Linked DNA regions of Rattus norvegicus. The protein of the gene in region 2 interacts with the protein of the main gene of each other region in a pairwise test. Links are inferred from orthologs where the notes say so. Each region holds a gene or a part of one and is shown on either strand. Other genes may lie near its edges.

Region 1 (7,807 bases), on a different chromosome or scaffold from region 2:
TGTCCCTTCTTCCCCAGAGCTTTCCCACAGCATCATCCTAGATAAGAAAAACAGACACTTGCTCCACTGATGCTATAACACTGATTATTCTCTGAAGATTTCCCTCTCGGATTAGGAGTTAGTGGACTGCTTGCTGTCTGGCTAATGTCAAGGTCATAAACGTCCCCAAATATAACAGCATGAACTCCTCATGGTAAGGGAAGAGCAGCTTGAATAACAAATCTAACAACGATCCATTATTCTTTAAGGAAACATGCTTACTTAAACCAGAGTTTAATCTGTCTCCCCCAAATTATATCGATTTGTTCTTAAAGATATGGAAGGCACACATTAAAAGCTCCCATTTCTACAGGTTACATAAGTTGCTGTTATTTGGATAAAAAAATTAAGAGTACAAGCAGAACACTAATCAACTGAATATGTCAGCTGATAATAAGAAGTCTACTGTGTTCATTATGTGTGTTTTTTCACTCCTCCAGCTGAGAGAAAAAATTAAGGGTACCATATGTTCTGGGCAAGCACTCTAGATACTGGGCTACACCTGCAGGGCCTGGCTCCATGTCTGGATCAAAACTGAGAAAGCCAACATTCCACAGGAAGCTCAAAGAGTTATTAATGTAATCCTTAACTACTTAACTATAATTTGAGGACATCATAAGCAACCATTTGAGAATGGCAAAACTAAAATCAACAGCTTATGTGTATCCAACAGCACCTACTCTCATCTTCTCAGAATACACGTGGTCAACCACCCCTGCACTGCCTTAATGCACCCCCTCAACTCAACCTTAAACATAACATCCCTCTTGGTTTGTTCTGGGGGGTGTAGCACTGCATGTGTCTGTGACAGAGTATGTCTCTGTAGCCAAGCCAAGCCCAGAGTTTGTTATGTGTTTGTAGCCCACTCTGGCCTTAATTTCAGTGTCTGTCATCCAGAGTACTGGGATTAGAGGTGTGTACCAGTCCTCACAGCTCAAAAGATCAAGCTTAAGAGTCTAATAACCTCTACAAGTAGGATTTTATCAGAGTTTCTTCTCTGTGTAGCCCATACCGTACCAGGCTGGCCTTAAACTCAGACCTCTCTGCCTCTGTCTCCCAAGTGCTGGGATTAAAAGTGCTGGGTGCACCAGTGAAGGCAAGAACAAACACCTGGGGTGTCCTTCCACCTTCTCTTAAGTTGCCATAATGACCTAATACTGTTGTGTTTGGGGAAAGTTGGTGACCATACAATGTAACACATTTAACAAGAGAATGGGCCACTGACCTTGCTTGACATGAAACTGTCCTCAAGTATACACACAAGCAAAGACTCACACACATCAAAGAGACACTTTTAAACAAGTTGAGTTCAAGGTCCACTGAGGGGGTTAGTAGGCAAAGGTATACGCTGCAAAACCTTCTGACTTGAGTTCCATCCCAAGACCCACACATGGTAAAAAACAAATTCTGGAAAGTTGCCCTCTGATCCCCACATGCATGTTATGGTGCATGTACCCCTACCCCTCAAACAAACATTATGTAGTTAAAAAAAAAAAAAAAAGAGTTCTGGAATTCTTAGTTAAATATCACCTTTAAAAAATATCCTTACTTAAGGTATAGAAATAAAACTAAATAGACAATCAAAAGCAAATTTTTGACCAAAGTGAACTAGATAGTGCACTAAAAGTTCTTGATATACATTTGAAATTAGGTATGAAATTCTTCACTTAAGAGCAATGACTCTAACTCCTAGAAGATATCTGATGGCTAGACAATCGTCTTCTTTAAGCACAGCACACTAATCATGCAGAGCCACCTACCATTTATTAGAGCCAAAAATCCTTGGTGCTAGAATGGGAACAAGGTAGTCAGCCAGGCACAAAAACATGACAAAACAGGAAACACCGGACAGCACAGATGGATCGAGATAATAGATAATCCTATTAAAAACAAAGAAAATTAACCAAGGTTAGAGAACCACAGTGGTCATTATTCCTAGTCAAAGAGGTTCACTCTTCACCCTCAGCTTCTCAGAGATGGTGCTGTTTCCTTTCTAATTTCCTCACAAAGGGTTTTCTCGAGGTACCACGGCATGATGTTGTCACAGTTAAAAAAGTGCTTAATGTAAACAACGATAGTCAAAAACTCTGGAGACCTCAATATTTAGTAGAAAATAATATAAAGCAAGAGTGTTGAAATAAGAGTTTGAGTGTCTGGAATTTATTCAACAGTATTAACTTACAATTTTACATAAGGACTACAAATTCTAGAAAGTGGGCAAGCTGCTTGAAATAAAGGCATTCCTCTTGGATTATGTAGTACAAAAGCTTCTCTAAGCATAGGCTATGAACCCTCGGAGCATTTAGCAATAGAATCTCTCACTTACAGGAACAGCAGGGAGACCACACCCATAATGGCAGGTGGAAACCAGGCTCTTTCCCACCGAAGGACTTTGTCAGCCATCAGCATCACTTCTCCCCAGCCTTGCAGCTGCTCTTCAAGACTTGCAGTCTCCACGGCCTACGCATGACCAACAGTGTTACAGTGTCACTTCCCCAATCTCAACACTTTGGTGGCTCAAGTGAGTAAAATCTTTCTAAGTCATCAAATACACATAAAATGCCTTTAACAAAACTGTTATCTTAAACAAGGTGAGTCATGAAAAACTGCACTTTTGGTACACAAACATGAAAATCCGTGGGCAGGAGAAAGCATAGGCTTTAATGGTCACTTTAGCACTGGGACACATGTCCATGATGTATCATCATACTGCCAAGGTTTCACAATGTATTTCAATATTCATGAAGGTGAGCTTAATATGGTTAACCAATATCCCCAATGTACCCACAGAGCCATGAGGCAGTGCTCAGAATATTACTAAATTGAATATTCTGTTTGCTCATTTCAGGTGGTTGGCATTGATCTGTTGATTGGTCAATTTATTGATTTAAGCCCTTCTAAATCCATCAGGAGAACTTTTCCCTTAATACTAAATACATAATAGTATTTATACTATTAATAGTATAATAGAATAACTCTGGTATTGGCAGTCACTGTGGAATTAAAGAAAACTATTCTAACCAAATTATGTGACCTCAGCACTTAAAAGTTCTCCATAATGGCTTCTTCTTGTTAATGATGGAATTTCAATTAAATCTCAAAGTTTCTCTGCATATGCGACAACCAGTCAAAAGCGTACCTTCACCATGGGCTATTGTGGCCTAGACCTATCAGGGACTTTAGTAAAGGAAGGAAATTAGAACCCAGCAGTTGCTCAGTCTGTGCAGAACCCTGGATTCAACATCCAGGAACCACAAACACACAAAGCTCAACCGATACATCAACTTTTCACAAAGTAGTATGCAAATGATAGTACGGTTGAGGCTAATTTTAGTAAAGATGAAATATGTGACTAAGAACTTCTGACGTCACCCCACACTAGAAATTCTTAACCTTTTACATGTTAAACTTCAATTAATGCTCCTCAAACTGGAAAAGGTATTCTTACAACCTCTACTTTAAGATGAGGAGACTGAGACACAAAGAGGCTAATATATTTAAATCCAGGAAACATAAGACTAATGGCCTTGCTCTCCTTAAAATGATACTGCATTGATGGAAATAGAGGCCCTCTCCTGTGGGAGTTTCCCTGTACAGCAATTAATCCTCTTACTGGATTGTTTGTTGGTGTATGTGTATTGTGTAGGGTAAGATTTAGGATGCAGGGCAGGCATCTCTATTGGATTGTTTGCTTATGTACTGTGTGTGTGTGTGTGTGTGTGTGTGTGTGTGTGTGTGTGTCTGTGTAGAGGGAATTCAAGGATACAGGGCATTCACATTTAAACACGAATACAAACTGAAAATCTTGTACAATCAAAACTGTCCCAAAGTCACTTGTCGGCACTTAGGCTCTCAGAAAAAGTGAAAAAGCTGATTAAAATCTGATTGCTATTTTCATTTCTGATATGGTCTGCCTTTTCTGGGGAATGACATTACAGGGCGGGGGGAGGGGAATGATCTTTCGTTCTTGCCTACGTGCAGTTTAAAATTTAAAACAGGGCCTGGTGATGCTCAACTGTAATCCCAGCGCTTGAGAGGTGGAGACAGGAGGATGACAAATACAAGGCTAACCTCGATAGGTCAGGATACACGAAAACCTAGCCTTAAAAAAACAAAAACAAAAACTTGTAATGAAGCAAACATGCCCTCCTTTAATACCATCTCCTGCAGCTCCTTCAAATCTGTGCTAATCGGGGTTGGGGATTTAGCTCAGTGGTAGAGCGCTTGCCTAGCAAGCGCAAGGCCCTGGGTTCGGTCCCCAGCTCCGAAAAAAAAGAAAAAAAAATCTGTGCTAATCATTTTAAAGTTGCAACCAGTCCGGTGAGTCCCTCGTCAGTTCCCAGACAAGTGCCAGGATCTCCCACTGTCCTTTCCGCATAACCCGTTTTCAGCTTCCTGCGGTGAACTCCAACCAAGCAACTCCAACAAATTCTGTGTCAGCGATAAACTAATTCTCTGTAGCAGCCCTTTGACCCTCCATCCTTGCGCCAAGTTTTAGGGAAAAAAGAATCATGATTAAAAATAATCTACGAGGGGCTGGGGATTTAGCTCAGTGGTAGAGCGCTTGCCTAGCAAGCACAAGGCCCTGGGTTCGGTCCCCAGCTCCGAAAAAAAGAAAAAATAATAATAATCTACGAAACATGAAATTAAGATCAGAGGGCAAAACAGGTAGGTCTCTCCGGCCTGAGCCGGGAACGCTAGACAAGGCCCCTTGCGGCCGAGTGCCCCAACCTGCTACCCAGGTTCCTTCTTGCCACAGACCCCTTCTCACATTTCCACACTCACGGTCCAAGCCTTGTAGTGCACGCTCCCCGGGGGACGTTGGGGATCGGCAGCAAGGACCACCACCGTGGAGATGGGCAGGGAGTCCCAGGATCAGGCCTGGCTGCCCCTGTAGTTCACCAAGACCAGGAGGTCCATCCGGGAGCTCTGGAGACAAACTGACCACTGCGACTCACCAGCAGGTTGCTGCTGCGGTTATCCCCCTCGGCCATCGTTCCAGACGCACGGTTATCAACGAGCGCGAACACACCAAACCCAACACCAGCACGGTAACCCGAGCGCGGGGGGGAACGCCCCGCAGGCCGCTTATATAGGCTCGCTGCCTTTCCCGACAGCCCTCGCGAAACTCGCTCCTCATTGGATAGACCGCACTCCGGCTTCTGGGAAGCCAGGCCAACCGGCAGCTAGCGCATGACTTGAAATCCAGGTCAAAGGAGAGTGAAGCTGCGCGGAGCTGAAAGACTCTGGCCAATCAGAGTGCAGGGGTGTGGCCCGCGGGAGGCGGAGCGGAAGGAAGCGGTTCAACCGCCGTCGCTAGTCTCTCACCCAAATCTTCCTGAACGTTTGTGGCCTCTCTACTCCCTACCTGTCTTCTGCTGTATCTCAAAGGCGCCGAGGGGCCTGTCTGCTCAGCTGAGTAGAGGATGCGCAGTGGCATCCTATGCGGAGGCTAGATGGGCAAGGGACGCTTTTAGGTTCCCGTGGCACCTGCTGACTGGAAGACAAGCGTCCCCATGTGAGCACCTGTGCCTAATGCTGCTGCCTTTTCGCCAACAGTGTTAACAGGCGTTTTGAGAACACGAAAGATGCACGAACTCTTAAAGGGCGTCATTTGCAGCCAGACTTTGGGGGAATCATTTGCGGGGCGCTTCACTTGATTGATTTGAGTACTTCAGGTAGCTAGGGGAGCGCTTCATTCGGAGGGATGGATGGGTAGAGGAACAATTCAGATGATGGAACGCTTCGAACTGATTAATGGGTGTTATGGGGAAGCCATGCTAAATACGGACTTCAACTATCTTAGATTTATATTCTTTAAAAAATAAAATAAATAAGCAAATTACCAGGTTCTTTAAAGTCCCTGGAAGTTTAAAAGAAACCTGAGAGACCACATAGTGAGCCCAAATAAGCCTGGTCCTTTCTGGCCCACGGTGGTTCTATCAAAGGGGCAATTTGTCAGACGTTTTGACCAGCAAAGCAGCTCAGAGTGTGTGTGTGTTATGGGGGGTGGGGGTGGGGGTGGGGGGTTATGACTCGGCTGATAAATCATATCGAAAATTGTAAGGCCTGGAGTTCCCTCCTTCGCCTCCTCAGTACTGAGAACAAAAGGACCAAAACAGCTGAACCAAGCTAACCTGGTACCAGGAAGTCACTTTCTAAGAGGACAGAAGAGTAAAAAGAGGGTTTTTAAAATCTGTCACTTCTACCTTGGTAACTTGGCTACTGCTTCAGAAAGCTTCAAGTTTAATCGGTGTTCCCAAAGTAAAATTTAAGATTAAATTTAGGACAGCCCCAGGTCCAAATCCAGCTCTCACTGACCTTGCAAATTGGCCCAAGGGTTATAAACATCTTTTTTTTTTTTTTAACACAAAGAGGAGTGACCTTTGAAATGTGTCAGATGATGAAGCCCGTTACACTAATCTTCCTCAGAACTTTGGCATAGCAAATGAACTCTTCCCAAATATTCTTTTCATTTCTTTCACTCAGAATAAGGGTCAAAGTTTTGTTTTAAATATTGCTAAAACTGAGCTTCATACATTCTTTTGCTATTCGAGACAGGGTTTCTCTGTGTAGTCCTGACAGTCCTGGTACTTGTTTTACAGACCAGGTTGGCCTAGAAACCAGAGATTCACCCATCCTTACCTTTGAATGGCTGTTCAAAAAGGATTTTTTTTTTTTTGAGATCTTTAAGATTTATTTTATGTATGTGAACACGTTGTCACTGTCTTCAGACACACCGGATCCCTTTACAGATGTTTGTGAGCCACCATGTGGTTACTGTAAATTGAGCTCAGGACCTCTCTCTGGAACTGCTCTTAACCTCTGAGCCATCTCTCCAGTTCTTTTGAGAGCTTTTTAATTTGGAGAGATAATAGGGGGGGAAAGTCACAAAATTGTATTCCAAAACAAACTTTCTGGGATCCACTTCAATAAATTCAGAGCCTAGATACTGTTATCTTGAACCTTTATTTTTTGAAAAACAGGTATTTCATACAATCTTTACCATGTTAATGTAAAGTAGGCAGGTGTTTTGTTTTTCAAAAGATGCATTATGGACATTTTCAGGAAGCTGGTGTTATTTACTCAACTTTTAATCTTAAATACAAGCACAAAATTATATCCATCAGAAGGCATTACAACTTAAAAAAAAGCCACTGTTTGTACAATGTTACTAAGACAAGGAAGATTCAGTTCAACTCAACTTGTTCTTAAATAAGGGTTTAAAAAAAGAACACGATGTCATTGCCACCTGACATTCCAGGTGGAAACTTAAGGGACTTGTAAATTGGAAAAAATAACACAGAAATCTGAAACAGGAGCTAAAACACACTGTCAGAAAAAGGGAAAACCACCACTGCTAATCAGCCTGTTTTAGAAAAATAAAATGTTTCAGGACTATATCCAATTCTTTACCATCTTCAAATATCCAGCTGATTTGAGGTTTTAACATTAGCACTAGAACTTCCCAGTGAGCCCCAATTCTCAAGTTTTCTCTACATGGCTGCCTTTTCAAACCCAAGCTGTTTGCTTTTTGTAAATAAACAGTGATGTTATCTAGGCCCAAAAGCAGGCGAAGTACAGTAACTGCCTCCTCTTAAATCTTTGCAAAGCACTGTGATGCTCACCAGTACTTGTTAGGAGGAATCTATCCTATCCAGGTAACTGAAGATGGAGTCTTCAGTGACTAGTGCATTAATTTTTGCCTCCTTGATTGGGGGGTAGGGGGTGGGGCAGGGTTCTAAATTACTAGCATTTTTATAAAAAC
Region 2 (7,807 bases):
GGGGGGGAGGAGGAGGGGGAAGAGGAGGAGGGGAGGAGGAGGAGGAGGAGGAGGAGGAGGAGGAGGAGGAGGAGGAGGAGGAGGAGGAGAAGAAGAAGAAGAAGAAGAAGAAGAAGAAGAAGAAGAAGAAGAAGAAGAAGAAGAAGAAGAAGAAGAAGAAGAAGAAGAAGAAGAAGAAGAAGAAACAACAACAAACCCTTCAGGTTATCCTTCCATAAGAGACACTTTCCAGGTTTACACCACCTAGATTGGATAAACAAGGTTCAGGCAGGGTTCCAGGGAGGACTGAATGGACAAACAAGTTCTGTTCAGGTCAAGCTTGGCTCCTGCTACTTGGAGAGGGCGCTGGTAACTTTTGCTTCTAGGCGTGGTCACAGTCTCTGCAGATCAGTCTCTAAAGCTCTGTGTAGCCAGTGCATTTTACAAGTAGGATCCTGATAAGGAGTGGCCTCGTGTTGTGACAGGGCCAAGTCCCCAAATTCAAGTGCCCCCCTCCCTGCTCCCACTCTAAATAGCTCTGCTCCAGTTTGGGGCCACACAGACAGGGCAGAAGACTCACCCTAACTATGCCAACCCCTTGGAGCGGCAGAACTTGTACCTGGCACCAGAAAGCTGAACAGCAGAGCTCACAGACCGATGATACGGGGGAGACAAACGTTCAGGTGTCCAGGCTGGTAGGCTTCCTGTGCCCCACTGTCCCACCTGGAGGAGGTGCGTTAGGGTGGAGCTGGGCTCTGCTGCTTGCCAGAGCTACCCTTTAATCCTGGTTCTAGTGGACCCTGCATCACATAGTCCTCGCAAGAAGGTCTGCAAAGGTATATTCAGTTGCTGAGTAGAGACACAACAGGCACATCTCCCGCAGACCCAGCATCCCAGGTTAAGTGAGGCTGGAAAAGGAAGATTGCAACATCTAGTTGTTTCCAAATCCTTTCTTTCTGTCTAGCCTTTTTCAGTCCCTCCACATTTAAGCAACAAAAGAGAAAACTTGTACCAAATATCCTTCTTTGATTCCCCCCCACCCCCCACTCCCCCACCCCCCTCTACGGAGATTTCTGGGTGGCGTGAACAAGGAATAGGTAATCCCACAAAACCTTGCAGTGGGCTATTCTGGAGATTTTGGCGTGGGTCTCCTACTTTAGAGGGGAAGCTATCAGTCTTGGTTCCCAGTCTGCTGCCTCCTTTGTGAACTAATGACTGTAATTATTACCTCCCAGAGCTCTTTTGTTATCAACAACCAGGAGCCTGGGGGGGGATGGGCCCTTTGGGGAAAGGGGAAAAAAATTTACAAAGCAAATTGCTGTCTAGGAAGGGTTGGAATTTTTTTAAAAAGACAAACCCAATTTCAGCCTGTATCCGAAGTGGGGAGTGGCAATGTTTTTTAATGTAAATATCATTAGATTTTTTAAAAAATTCTCAGAGCTGTGGATTCAATTGCATTTCAACAGTACTGCTTTAAGTCACTATTTTTGACGAAGTTAAATTCAGATGTTGAGAGTCTGTCCTCTTGTTTTCATCCATTTCTCCCTTGTGAGGTGTGTGTGTGTGTGTGTGTGTGTGTGTGTGTGTGTGTGTTTATGAACCATTTTATTTCTGACCACTCATCCGTGGTAAAAAGCTTCGACCCCAGCCAGCTGGCTTGAAGAGAGAATTATTTGCAGGATTTGGTATGGATTTAAACAAAGACCCAGGCTCTCCAAGTCCTGTTGGCAAGGCTGGGTGGAGAGAGCGCCCAGCATTCCAGGAGATGTTGCCTCTGCCAACCGAAGTCACCAGGCCTGGAGTACCCTAAAGATTGACCAAGTTAAGGCGTAGGGTCAAGATGACTACCTTCCCTCAACATGCTCCTGCTTTTGGCTTAGAGACGTGCCTGGGTAGCACCTCAACAGGGTCAATCACACTCCCCACGCCTCCCTAGTCCCGCGACTTCTGTGGGCATCCACTATCTAGATCCTCCCTGGCCGTCAGGATTCTGGCAACTGGGAAGAAGTAAAGCTTTGGGGAGAGAATGCACTTGGAGGCCCAAGACTAGGGCTTCTGTACAGTTACCCGAGGTCTCAGGATCCCTAACAAAATAAGTGATCCTGGTCGCCAAAACCAAGTAGGGTCCCTGCTCAGGCAAGAGCTTTGGTGCCTTTTTTGAAAACTCAAAAGAAGGAACGAAGAAATGCTGTGGAGACCAGGGAGACTGCAGCCCCTTGCTCAGGGAGCGCAGGAAAGGAGATCCGGATGGCTGAAAGCAGCACCTTCCCGCTAGTCTTTCTTGAGCTATGTGTAAATCGGAAACCAAGGGTCTAGTATAAGCAAGCCAAAACAAAGCGGAGTCTGAGGGCCCCACATCTTCCTTAAGGCGCTGTCGCGCAGTTTATGGGCCTTTAGGGAAGAGAAAACAGAAAGGATTGTTTCATTCCTTTATTAGAAAACACAAACGAAACTACTTCTCTCTGGGCCGGGAAATTGCCAATCTTGCGTTCCTAGGCACCTCCTGACCTTAAGGACTCTTCTGGGGGAGGGGAGAGGTCAGTGGTTTCAGTACTCCTGAAACTACCCGAGTGCCTTTTCTCCTGGAATTTGAAAGTCTGGTTTGCTTACTTCGAAAACCCCTGAATCCCGCCTAAGCACAGGTGCATAAGCAGCAAGCCAAGGTCACCAAGTAACCGGATCCCCTCCCCCATCAACCATAAATCCTGTGGTCTGTGTCAGCTCTCCGCTGCTCCCTTTCAAGAAGTTTCTGTTCGTTTTATTTATTTAATTTTTCCCAGCCTGAGGTCCTCAGTGATAGACTCCAGCGTGGATTTTAATTGCTTCAATCAGCAGTCTTTCTCCTCAGCCGTCAGTCAAAACCTGGACGGTGGGTCTGGGGACTCAGCGCTTGACTGCACAGGAAGTGGACGACCCCCCCAGGCTGGCTCAGCTCAGTAGGCAGACGTTTTTAGGCTCGGCTAAGGAAGGAGATGAAATGAGTCCGTCTGCGTGGAAGCGATACACCTTCCTCCCTCTTTGGTTCCTTCCCCGTGCTCTGGAGCTCTGCCTGATTGCGGCCAGGTGGCCTGGGCTCTTGAGGTCACAGCGACCTCCGCACGGGTTTGGAGGAAGGAGGGTGCGAAAACCGCTTTTGCTCGGCCGGCCTCAGCCAGAGACAGCTCTCAAACAATGAGCCAATCGCTGCACATGTGAAGTCGCTTTCAGTCACCCCCCAAGATTGTCAAGGTCTCCCTGGTGCCCAGGGTCACCGAGGCCAGCGTGCAGCGGGCTGCGGTAGCACCCTGGACAGCGCGTCCCGGCCGAAGAGGACCTGGAGCGCCTGTGGCTGGGTCAGCGCTGCGCAGGCACGCCTCCCACCCCCGCATCTGACTCGCGCTCGAACGCACAGCCTCGCACCTCACGACCCAGCTCCTCCATTTCCCTTTCGTCACTCTCTGGTCTCCCCACCAAACTCCTCTCCCTAAAAATTCTCTTGGGTCCTTTCCACTTTCCAATCTCCAGACTGCGAGGATCAGGCTACTCCCCCATTTAACCACCGCGCAGAGCACAACGGCTCGTCCCTACGCCCTGACTCGAACACTCACACGTACGAGCACTGGCATACGCAGACAGCACGTTTCCTGTCCCTGTGTGACACCCACCCTCGTCGCGCGGCTGCTCCAGCCCTCGCGCGGTGCCCTCCTCCCGCCACACACACTCGCACACGCACGCAGGCGCGTGCAGGGTCGAGCCGAAGGCAGCTTGCCCGCAGCCACTCGGAGGCGACCAGCGCCAGACTAGCAGAACCCATGGCATCTCCGGGCTCTGGCTTTTGGTCCTTCGGATCTGAAGATGGCTCTGGGGATCCTGAGAACCCGGGAACAGGTAGGAAAACCAGAACCTGCAGCGGGAGAGCTTTGTGGATGGATTAGGGTTTGCCCGGCTACGCAGATGATCAAAGCTTTGACATCTGCAACAGGAAACTTATTCAGGCGCTTCGCCTGGCTCCCTGGGTTAAGTCCTTAACTGTGCGAGAACCCCAACCCCTCCCCTCAGCCCTTTGTCCCCCTGGGAAAAAGCCCAGGGTTGTCTCGGCCCCTTCCCCTAAACGTAGGTTCCTAAAAGACTGCTGCATCTGCTGTCATCGGAAACCTGAGCTTTGCTTAGGGACGTCTAGACCCCGGGCAGGGAAAGGCAATCTAGGAACCGGGTAGAGTTTAGGGTCTGAAAGGCAAGCGCGGCGAGAAACAAACATCCTCGGGTCTAGGAAAGCCAGCCCCGGCGCGAACAGGGAGGGTCTGGAAACCCGAGGACCTGGCGAAGAAGTGCAAAGGGCCGCGGTGTGGACTGCTTTCTTTCTGGGACACGACAAGATGAGGGCTGGTCCCGGCGCCAGGTTCCCTCGGGCTCCCCCACCTGCTGAAGGCAGAGTCGCTAGCCCGTGGCCGCTCTCGAGGTTGGCGCCGGGTCCCCAGACTCCGGACTCGGAGACCTGGTTCACTTAGAACGAAATTTCTCACTCCCCCGTCTGTTCTCTTTCCGATTCGCTTTTCCCTGCCTGGCGATTGCAGCGAGAGCCTGGTGCCAGGTGGCCCAAAAGTTCACGGGCGGCATCGGAAACAAGCTATGCGGTGAGTGGTGGCGCGGTTGGAGAGAAGGGCGGACAAGGTCGGGGGCGCACGCTGGCGGGATCAATGCCGCCTGCTCCGCTCGGTGCCTGCAGCCTATGTCGGCCCAGTCCCTCGGTTGCGGGTGGGCGGGGATGTGGGAGCCGGGACGGTCAGGGGCTGACCTAGGTCCGGCGCTCCGTGTCCTTGTCCAGCTCTGCTCTACGGAGACTCTGAGAAGCCAGCAGAGAGCGGCGGGAGCGTGACCTCGCGGGCCGCCACTCGGAAGGTCGCCTGCACCTGTGACCAAAAACCCTGCAGCTGCCCCAAAGGAGATGTCAATTATGCACTTCTCCACGCAACAGGTAAAGAGGTCGGCTGGCCAGAACCGCGCTCCACCCCGCGGACGTCTGTCCCCGCCAAGTGGGTGACAGAATGGGGTGGGGGTGGGGACTCTGAGAATCTTTCCCGGAATTAGAAGGATGTGGGGGTCTGTGTGCTGGAGTTGTTCCAAGAACGCGGCCCTGGCCTTCCCCAACCCGAATCGGAGACCACAGTGCCCTGCACTGGAGCAGCCTCAGATAGAGTCGGAGGTGGCAGTGGCAGCGGTGTGCGCCACAGTAGGCTTCTTGGTGCTGCCCCAGCCTCTGGGTAGCACAGATTTCCAAAATGCCCTGGGAAGTACTTCGGAATTGCAGGGAGTTTTAGGTGTTCCTTTGGATCCAAAGTAGTTTGTAACCGTTATTTCAAAGAGGAACGATTCTGTTTACCTGAGCCCTAGGCGCTAAATTTTACCTACGCATTCATGACTCTCTGGCTTCCAAACACTGCGTGAACTCGCGCACACACCCACACCTCCTCCACACACACACCCCAACTTTGGAAAAATCTGCCCTTCAAAAAAGCCAGATATCATAACTTGGCATAAATCACTTTTCCTGGTTTGCTGGAAGGTATTTCTCAAACATTTCGGAAGTGGAGTATTGACAAACCATTAAGATGATTTACTCAAATAGACCATTTGGGACAAACGCTTGTGAAACGGACAAGCTGAAACACTCATCTTGGGGAAAAAATTAATCAAGCAACGTAATTTGTTACAAATAAAATGCAAAACTTAATTCCGGGAGGTTTTATTTGCTTGTGTTTCTGGATGCTTTGGTTTTGTTTGAAACAGGGTCTTCTCTCCCTAACCAGATCTGGTCTCCGATTTCCAGAGATCCCCCCTTACTTTAGCGTCCTGAGCACATCAAATCAGTTCAAAGCAAAATTGCCCGTTCACTAATTGCCAGGGTCTTTGTAGTGACACCTAAAATTCCGTTCCCATTCCGTTCTTCAGACCTGCTGCCAGCCTGTGAAGGAGAAAGGCCCACTCTCGCATTTCTGCAAGATGTAATGAACATTTTGCTTCAGTACGTGGTGAAAAGTTTTGATAGATCAACTAAAGTGATTGATTTCCATTACCCCAATGAGCTTCTTCAAGAGTATAATTGGGAATTGGCAGACCAACCGCAAAATCTGGAGGAAATTTTGACGCACTGCCAAACAACTCTAAAATATGCGATTAAAACAGGTATTGTGCAACCAGTAATAATAAAGCTATTTTTTCCTTTTGCAATTTTATTTTTTCCCTATAAAACCGTTTTTCTTATGGTGGGTCGTGTTATTTCCAAAATTGCAAAGTTACATTGGCTTAAAAATAGTCATTATTGGAGTGATTCAGAGGCACCTTTCTAACAATAACCGAGCCGTAGTCGGGGTATAAATTATGAGATTGGCAAGGAGATTAATTGGAGGTTGTAGGAGCAACCATTTGTCAGCAGGGGCCAGTACCCAAAATGAAGAAAGAAAGGGAATGTTGAAAGGGATGCTGTAAAGACTAAAGATGCGATCCAGTACACCTGAACTGCATGTGCTGTTGTCAATTTTCTCCACCTGGAACTAGTCAAGAACCCCTGCTAACCAGCCTGTGCAATCTTCAGGCTCGAGGGAGAATGCTGTAGCATTGTTTCAAAAGACTTAATTTTAGATTTCAATTCCAGTTTTTCTCCTGGTTTGAAAGAAGTATGGAGGCGCGCGCACGCGCACGCACGACCCGCTCCCCCCCACCCCCCACCAATGCTTAGCAGCCCAGTAGTATTACTCAAGGATTTCTCTCCTTCGCTTATGTGGATAAGAATACCCGAATTGTTTAAGGGTCCATTTAAAGATGTGTGTTAGGGTCTATTAGAGTCTCACAGCCTCCTTTAAAACTGGGTAAAATGATGTTGTAGTCCAGGGGCAACATCATTCGTACCTCCAGAGCTTTCTTCCTCCCAGGTCCTGAGTGCCCTGCTCTTTTTCTCTACATTGTCTCTAATCATCTTGATACATGGTGAAACAAAGTAAAGTGATAAATATGAATACCTTTATGAGGTGGAGGAGGGAAGGCTTATGGACTTACAATGATTTGTAGACGTAAAAAAATGTGCTAACGAATGTGAAATATTAAGTAGGCATGGGTTACCATGCAAACGTCATGCTTTATGCTGCCATTTTTCCGGTAGTTTATTAGTAAAACAAAGGACAAACATTTTAAGAATTTTGCTACAAAAATGGTTTGGCCTTTTTTCCCCTGAGCATTCTTTATATGATTAGAGAAGAAAGATTTGCATAGACGCCTTGGAAAACTGATTTATTGTGTAATTATAATCCACTTTGTAAGACTGTAGACTTGGAAATAGAGTCGAGCCGAAATGAGCTGAACTTGATTTCCAGGGAGTATAGACATCTTTTAAATATCGTCAGTTAGTCCTCCTGAAACACCAACAGAATATACACGCCAAGCATGTGAGATACTCTGCTCCCAGTTTCTTTGCATGTACCCACCAACCGAAGCTTGAGCCATGCTTTTAATCTGTCTCTGCTTGACCCATCCCCCACACCTGACATTTAAATACGCTAATGGCAAAACTTCCTACCATTTGTTTATGCTGCTCACAAATAAAAGAGAACACGTACTTTTTTTTTTTACCTCTTTGTTTTCAAAAGCTGCCAGCTAGTCTTCGAAATGCAATTTAGAATTAAGATAGTGGGAATTGCCAGGCAGTGGGAGTAATAGTTCTATATATCGATGCTCCACCATCGGGGAATAAATGGGTTCGTTAAATTATCAGATTGTTGCTATAAGTTTTGTAAAACTGTTAGTCAAATGTTGCTGTGGTGCATCTCATTTAAAGTGAAGATTAAAATCTATTAGA
Region 3 (7,707 bases), on a different chromosome or scaffold from region 2:
CCCCCTGGCCTACTTGGTAAGTCCCAAGCCAGTGATAGACTTTGTTTCAGAATAAACTTGGCTAGTGCTGCTGGCAGAACAACAACTGAGGTTATCTTTTGACTTCAAATGTGTTGCCCACACATGGCACTCAAATGAGCACACACACACACACACACACACACACACACACACACACACACACACACAGAGGAGGCATGCCCAGAGGAGTTTATGACTGTCTGGTGTTTCTGACTTGAACTGAGCATGCCTCTGGAGTGTGCTTACCTGACCAAGCCAGCTCAAGCCAGCTCAGTCAGTCAACAGGACAGATAGAAGATTAAAAAGAAAAAAGACAATTAGACAACACTAGCACGACCCCAACCAGTTACAAGGCCGAGGCAGGTTTATTTTTTCACACTCTGCTTTTATACCATTTTAAGTACATGCAAAATAATGAGATCAGTTCTAGGTCAAGAAACAGACAAGGCAATAAACACGAATAGTCAGGGAGCAAACAAGGCAGTGAACAAAGTCCCATAAACAACGTTTCTATGGGGCTTATCAGGATGACAGAGACAAAAGGAACGCCACACACGCCTTGGCTGGACCCACTAGCCCAAATGTAAATATTCTTAATCTGAGCCTATTTCCTGATCCTAGCCCAAAATCAGATTCTTGCCTGACTTACTTCCATGTCCTGGCCCAACGTCAAATTCCTGCCAAGTTTCTACAAGTGTCCCCAAAGCTCTCCACACTTAGCCCTATATGGATATGTGTAGGCTCTCTGACTAAAAACCCCATGCTTCCTTTGTTTGAAGAAAGTCTTGGTTTGGAAATGGCTCCTGTGCTCTCCTCACCTGCTGCAGGTAGCAAGCCTTCTTGGCCATGCTTACTTTGGCTTTGCACTTGGCAGACAGAAGCCTATTGGGACAGGCTTACCTGGAATGTGTGTTTAATGGGTATAAGTGTTAGATGTGGATGAACCATCTCTTTCCCCTACATTGTGACCTGACCATGACCATTCTCTCTCAGAGAAAGCAATTCCTGGGTTAAACAGTTTTGTTGTAGTTACTTTTCTATTGCTATGATAAGACACCATGATCAAAGCAACTTACTGAGGAAAGAGTTTTACTTGGGTTCATGAATCCAGAGGGCTGAAAGACCTTTACATCCGCATCCAGAGAAGTCTTTGTTTAGTGGTTTAGTCCCTGGGAGCTCTGCTTGGTTGGTATTGTTGTTCTTATGGGGTTGCAAGCCCCTTCAGCTCCTTCAATCCTTTCTCTAATTCCTCCAACAGGGAACCCATTCTCAGTTCAATGGTTTGGTGCTAGCAAACCATCTGTCACGCTCTGGCTGAGCCTCTCAGGAGACAGTTATATCAGGCTCCTGTCAGCATGCATTTCTTGGCTTCATTAATATTATCTAGTTTTGGTGGCTATATATAAATGGGCTGTATACCTAGGTGGGGCAGTCTCTGAATGTCCATTCCTTTAGTCTCTGCTTCAAACTTTGTCTCCTTATCCCTCCTATGAATATTTTTGTTCCCCGTTTCAAGGACTGAAGCATTCATACTTTGGTCGTGCTTCCTCTTGAGCTTCATGTGGCCTATGGATTTTTATCTTGGGTAATTTGAGCTTTTGGGCTAATATCCACTTATCAGTGAATGCATACCATGTATGTTTTTTTGTCATTGGGTTACCTCACTCAGGATGATATTTTCTAGTTCCATTTGCCTATGAATTTCATGAAGTCATTGTTTTTGATGGCTGAGTAGTACTCCATTGTGTAGATGTACCACATTTTCTGTGTCCATTCCTCTGTTGAAGGGCATCTGGGTTCTTTCCAGCTTCTGGCTATTATAAATAAGGCTGCTATGAACATAGTAGAGCATGTGTCCTTGTTGTATGTTAGAGAATCATTTAGGTATATGCCCAGGAGAGGTATACCTGGGTCCTCAGGTAGTGCAATGTCCAATTTCCTGAGGAACCTCCAGATTGATTTCCAGAGTGGTTGTACCAGTTTGCAATCCTACCAACACTGGAGGAGTGTTCCTATTTCTCCACATCCTCACCAGCATCTGTTGTCACCTGAGTTTTTGGTCTTAGTCATTCTGATTGGTGTGAGGTAGAATCTCAGGGATTTTTTGATTTGCATTTTCCTGATGACTAAGGATGTTGGACATTTCTTTAGGTACTTCTCAGCCACTCAATATTCCTCAGCTGAGAAATTCAGGAAATTTTCCCCAGTGCCCGTGTATTGGAGGTTCTTCCCCACTTTTTCTTTTATTAGTTTGAGTGTATCTGGTTTTATGATGAGGTCCTTGATCCACTTGGACTTAAGCTTTGTACCTGGTGATAAGAATGGATTGATCTGCATTCTTCTACATGCTGACCTCCAGTTGAACCAGCACCATTTGTTGAAAGTGCTATCTGTTTTCCACTGGATGGTTCTAGCTTCTTTGTCAAAGATTAAGTGACCATAGGTGTGTGGGTTCATTTCTGAGTCTTCAATTCTATTCCACTGGTCTATCTGTCTGTCTCTGTACCAATACCATACAGTTTTTATCACTATTGCTCTGTAATACTGCTTGAGGTCGGGGATGGTGATTCCCCTAGAAGTTCTTTTATTGTTGAGGATAGTTTTTGCTATCCTGGGTTTTTTGTTATTCCAAATGAATTTGAAAGTTGCTCTTTCTAACTCTATGAAGAATTGAGATTAATTTTGATGGGGATTGCATTGAATCTGTAGATTGCTTTCGGCAAAGTGGCCATTTTTACTATATTAATCCTGCCAATCCATGAGCATGGGAGGTCTTTCAATCTTCTGAGATCTTCTTCAATTTCTTCCTTCAGAGACTTGAAGTTCTTGTCATACAGATCTTTTACTTGCTTGGTTAGAGTAACACCAAGGTATTTTTTATATTATTTGGGACTATTGTAAAAGGTGTCATTTCCCTAATTTCTTTCTCAGCCTGTTTATCCTTTAAGTAGAGAAAGGCTACTGACTTGTTAGAGTTAATTTTATACCCAGCCACTTTGCTGAGGTTGTTTATCAGGCTTAGTAGTTCTTTGGTGGAACTTTTGGGGGAAAAGAGGCATTTTCAATAATAGCCACTGGCCTCCAATGCCCTAAGGAGCAAGACACAGGAAAGACCAACTTTTGATGGAGGAAGCCCACCCTTCCACTTCAGCTTCCACTTTTTTCCGAACAGTTTTTTCTTATTAAAAAAACTTTTCATCATACAATATATTTCATCCTGGTTTCCTCCTCTTCTTCCTCCTTTTCCTCCTCTTCCTCTCCTTCTTCCTCTTTCTCTTCTTCCTCCTCCTCCAAGAGGATGAGCATCCCGCCCACTTTTCAGGACTCAAAGCTTTACTCTCATTACTGGCATTGAGGCTCATTTCTTCAAAGATCCCATCATCCAAAAACCTTCCTCTAGAAAAGTAACCACCAATCCAGCTACAAAGCCTGCAGTGTACAACCGTGATCTGTCTGCATGACACCTAGGTACAATAGTGGTACACATGCTGTCGCAGTGCATGCTGTGGGGTAGGGCACCCACCTACCCCTCTCAGTGTTGGGATGCTGTCCAGCCTGAACCCATGCAGGCCCTGTGCATGCTTCCCCATCTCTGAGTTCATGTGTGCATCAGTCTTGTTGTGCCTGGAAGACACTGTTTCCTTGGAGCCTCCCATCCCCTTTGGCTTTTAGCTCTTCTGCATAGCTCCCTGAACCCTGGGAGGAGGAGCTTAGCTAAGACATCCCATTTAAGACTGAGTATTCCAATATCTCTTATTCTCTGTACATGTTTCAGCTGTGGGTCTTTGCATTAGTTCCAGTCTACTGCAAGAGGATGTTTCTCTCATGGTAGCTGAGTGAAGCACTGATCTGTGAGTGTAGTAGAATGTAGTTAGAAGTAATTTTATTGCTGTGCTCCTTTAGCAGAACAATAGTATTTGGCTTTCCTCAAGGCCCGTGGCCTATCTAGTCTAGGTTCTTGGTCATGAGAGCAGGGTCAAGCATGGGCTCCATCTTGTGGAGTGAGCCTTAATCCAGCCATAGAGTGGTTACTGCCACAGCATGTGTACCACTATTGTACCTAGGTGTCATGCAGACAGATCACGGTTGTACACTGCAGGTTTTGTAGCTGGATTGGTGGTTACTTCTCTAGAGGAAGGTTTTTGAATGATGGGATCTTTGAAGAAATGAGCCTCAATGCCAGTAATGAGGAGAGTAAAGCTTTGAGTCCTGAAAAGTGGGCGGGATGCTCATCCTCTGGGGGTTGACTAAGATCCTAAGATCCGCTGTGTGCTGGGTAGCTTTCTCCACGGAGTTTGCTTTCCCATTCCTTAGTCTTCAAAGTAGGGTAGCCTGTTTATTAAAATAACACATGGTCATCATCATCAGGCTGTGTGGCCCACCAAAACATCCAGTTTGTACCATAAAAGCATTGATGTGGTGGCAAACCACTGCAGGCATTTAGCATCTGGAGTCAAAGATCTTAGCTTTGAATACCCAGGCTTGGAAACTGGGTGACTCCAAATAAAGCATTTAGTCCATTGCATCTTGAATTTCCCCATACACACAAATCATGTGGAAAACGAGATTGGGCACAACAGATGCCAGGTGGGGTCTAATGTTCTACATCTCCATTAAGCACTTGAGTGACGCTAAACATCTAGGACTTAATCCTTTTGTTCCTTGGTAACCTCAGCCATGAAAATCTTACCTGAGGAACAGTAGGCATATTGTATATACATTGCACACATAAGAGGGTGTCTTTCTGAGAGGCCGTGTGTTAGGCAAGAGAGTAGTACCTTTCTTTCACCCACAGGACTTGTGGGTGAACCTCACATTTGCCACCCTTTCCACAGCTGCCTCTTATGCTGCCAGGTGCAAGCTCCTCATGTCTTAGGAGATATTTTGTACTGATGCCCATGGGCCTCTGACTTGCCAGAGGCCTCTGATGCTGGCTGTACTTTCCACAGCTGGGGCCGATCAACTCAACCTGAGATGTGGACCCAGCACTTAACCCTGGCTCCTCATCCATTGCCCACAGGTGGTTGCCTTTATGAAGTCCCCAGTGGGCCGGTTCCTGGACAGGCATCCGTTCCTGGTTCTCACCGTGCTGATGTTTGTTACCATGTCAGCCATCCCTGTTGGTTTCTTCCTGCTCATCGTGGTGCTCACCTCCCTGGGTGCTCTTATGGGGGCCATATTACTGGAAGGTACTCACTCTACCCAAGGTAACTGGGAAGTAACTCAATAAGCTGGACAGTATTTATTGACCATCTGCCATTCTCATCAAAGGCTCCTCTTTCTGGTCCAAGGCAGCTTGTCAGAGGGGTTAAAACACAGGCTCTTGTGTGCATCCCTCACTACCACTGTAATCTGAGACATAATTCATTCCTTCTGAGCCTTAAATTGGCAACCAAATGAGCAGAGAGACCCCCAAGTGTAATATAGTTTATCAACGGTAGGGAACGAGGCAAAGAGAGGTCCAGCTAGTTGATGCCAGAAACTGAGGCCTACTCAGGTGTTGAACTATATAACTATTTTAAATGTCAGAAATGTAAATTTTTTATGGGAAATCTGCTGACTTCAAAATATCTGAGTCAGCTGTCAGTATTTTAAATAACCTGGGCTGGGTCTTCCCATTCTCAGCCTGCTTCAGATGAAGGCACATCTTAACCACACTCTCCTCCTAGGCCTGGTCATCTCTGTTTGTGGTCTCTCACTGCTCTGCATCCTCTGTGGCCTGGGCTTCGTATCGCTTGCCTTGTCAGGGATAACCATGATGTCCTATGTGGTGGTCTCCTGCCTCATGAGCTACTGGTTTTCTCCAAGGTAAATACAAGTCAATGGAACAACTTAATCTTGGTCATTTGGGGGATTCACACAGATAACCAGAGATAATCCCACTTGACATCTAGAAGCCAAATTATAAGAAACAGGTGTCCCTCACAGTTGCCCATAGACATTGCATATCAGCTACACATTTACAGTAGAGTTTCTTACTGCTACCCTCCCTAGTCCATCACCCATAGAGCTGGAGTAGCTTCCTGGGCACTTACTAATTCTTCTAAGAGGGTGTCTATTTAAATTACAAAGGCCAAATGGGGCCCAAGTTTAGGAGGGTTGGAAGGGAGGTAAACAGGGAAGAGGCTCACCTATCAGGTTGCCACGCCTACCTTGCAGGGTGATTTGGAGTTGGGAAGCTGTTGTCCTCACAATTTACCTTGGTCTCCTCAGCTCATCCCAGTGTGATCTTCCCAGCACAATGGCTCATGTTTACTATGTGGAGTTTCTTCCCCCAGCCCTACACACAGTGTGGCGCCTGGGTCTTGACTGGGGGAGCAGTGACCTTTTAGATGTTGGAGGGAAACCTAGTATCGCTGGAGTGCCTGGGAGACAATCTTTTGTGATGTGCTCCTCCCTGCTCCTCAAGGGACTTTCAAAGGCCACTTTTTAAAAAACGTATTCATCATTTTATTCATTTACATTTCAAATGATATTCCCATTCCTGGTTTCCCCTCCACAATGCCCACTCCCCTTTGCCTCTATGCGGGTGCTCCTCCACCCACTCATCCAGTCCCACATCATCACTCTTCACTGGGGCATTAAATCTTCACAGGACCAAGGGCCTCCCTTCCCATGGATGTCAGATAAGGCCATCATATGCAGCTGGAACCATGGGTCCCTCCATGTGTACTCTTTGTTGGTGGTTTAATCCCTGGGAGCTCTGGGGCATCTGGTTAGTTGATATTGTTCTTCCTATGGGGTTGCAATCCCCTTTAGCTCCTTCAGCCCTTCCCCTAGCTCTTCCATTGGGGCTCCCAGGCTCAGGCCAATGGTTGGCTGTATTTGCATCTATATTAGTGAGGTACTGGTAGAACCTCTCAGGGAATAGCCATTCCACACTCCTGTCAGCAAGCCCTTCTTGGCCTCAGCAGTAGTGTCGGGGTTTGGCGTCTGCACTTTTTCGATACTTGATTTTTGTGCTGTGTATAGATTGTAGATTCTTAGGTCCCCATGTACTGAGTCTGCCTTGTCCTTCACCTAGGCTTCCACTAGTTTGATAGCTGTGGCCCAGGCCTGTTGAGTATTTACTTAGTGCCAGAGTCTGTGCTGAGCACTTTCCAGCCACATTCCATGTAACTCTAAGGGTGAGCCTCATTCTGTGATAGATAAAGGAAAGCCAAGTACCAAAGCTGAGAATAGCTGAGAAGGGACTTAAATCTAGATCCATTAGGTATGGTAATATTCTCAACGAAAATATAAAGTGACTGTAAAACATAGGCCAACAATCTCTGCGAAGGGACACCTAGTAAACATTCTAGGCCGTTTAGGTGATGGCTAGCCTCTCAGCTCTGTTACTGCAATGTGAGAGCAGATGTTAAACAAATAAACAGGTCTGGCTGTGTTGCAATAAAACTTTATTCAGACTCCACAAAGACAGATGGCTTGCCAAATTTGCCCCCTCTGGCCTTGATTGACTTGCCAGTCCATGCTCCAAAACCCCACTAGTACCCTGAGCTTCAGTCTTCTTACAGGATAGATAGCCCTTGAGCCTCTTAACAAAAGACTCTCTCACCTCTTGTCTAGGTGTCTTTGATTCCCAGCATTTTCTCTCTCCCCAAAAAAGGTTATCTTACTGTCATTTCCACATGTTGAGTATCTGTGATCTTAAATTGCCCAGGGCTTGTTCTCAGAAGATTGCTTAAC

Evidence for each region.
Region 1: the proteins of Gad2 (region 2) and Arl6ip1 interact in binary tests that used the Homo sapiens proteins (3 or more experiments, as listed by UniProt). The two-hybrid records come from large-scale screens. The link is inferred for Rattus norvegicus from reciprocal best matches to the Homo sapiens genes GAD2 and ARL6IP1.
Region 3: the proteins of Gad2 (region 2) and Ldaf1 interact in binary tests that used the Homo sapiens proteins (3 or more experiments, as listed by UniProt). The two-hybrid records come from large-scale screens. The link is inferred for Rattus norvegicus from reciprocal best matches to the Homo sapiens genes GAD2 and LDAF1.

The regions. Positions count from the first base shown.
Region 1 is NC_086019.1:181,869,145-181,876,951, forward strand, and holds the start of Arl6ip1 (ADP-ribosylation factor-like protein 6-interacting protein 1), read right to left. Parts: upstream 5,089-7,807; 5' UTR 5,034-5,088; coding exon 4,998-5,033; intron 2,500-4,997; coding exon 2,366-2,499; intron 1,920-2,365; coding exon 1,800-1,919; intron 1-1,799. UniProt on the Homo sapiens protein: Positively regulates SLC1A1/EAAC1-mediated glutamate transport by increasing its affinity for glutamate in a PKC activity-dependent manner.
Region 2 is NC_086035.1:89,668,021-89,675,827, forward strand, and holds the start of Gad2 (glutamate decarboxylase 2), read left to right. Parts: upstream 1-3,697; 5' UTR 3,698-3,770; coding exon 3,771-3,846; intron 3,847-4,532; coding exon 4,533-4,592; intron 4,593-4,783; coding exon 4,784-4,933; intron 4,934-5,907; coding exon 5,908-6,141; intron 6,142-7,807. UniProt on the Homo sapiens protein: Catalyzes the production of GABA.
Region 3 is NC_086019.1:183,923,347-183,931,053, forward strand, and holds part of Ldaf1 (lipid droplet assembly factor 1), read left to right. Parts: intron 1-5,041; coding exon 5,042-5,210; coding exon of another isoform or gene 5,211-5,228; intron 5,229-5,690; coding exon 5,691-5,829; intron 5,830-7,707. UniProt on the Homo sapiens protein: Plays an important role in the formation of lipid droplets (LD) which are storage organelles at the center of lipid and energy homeostasis. In association with BSCL2/seipin, defines the sites of LD formation in the endoplasmic reticulum.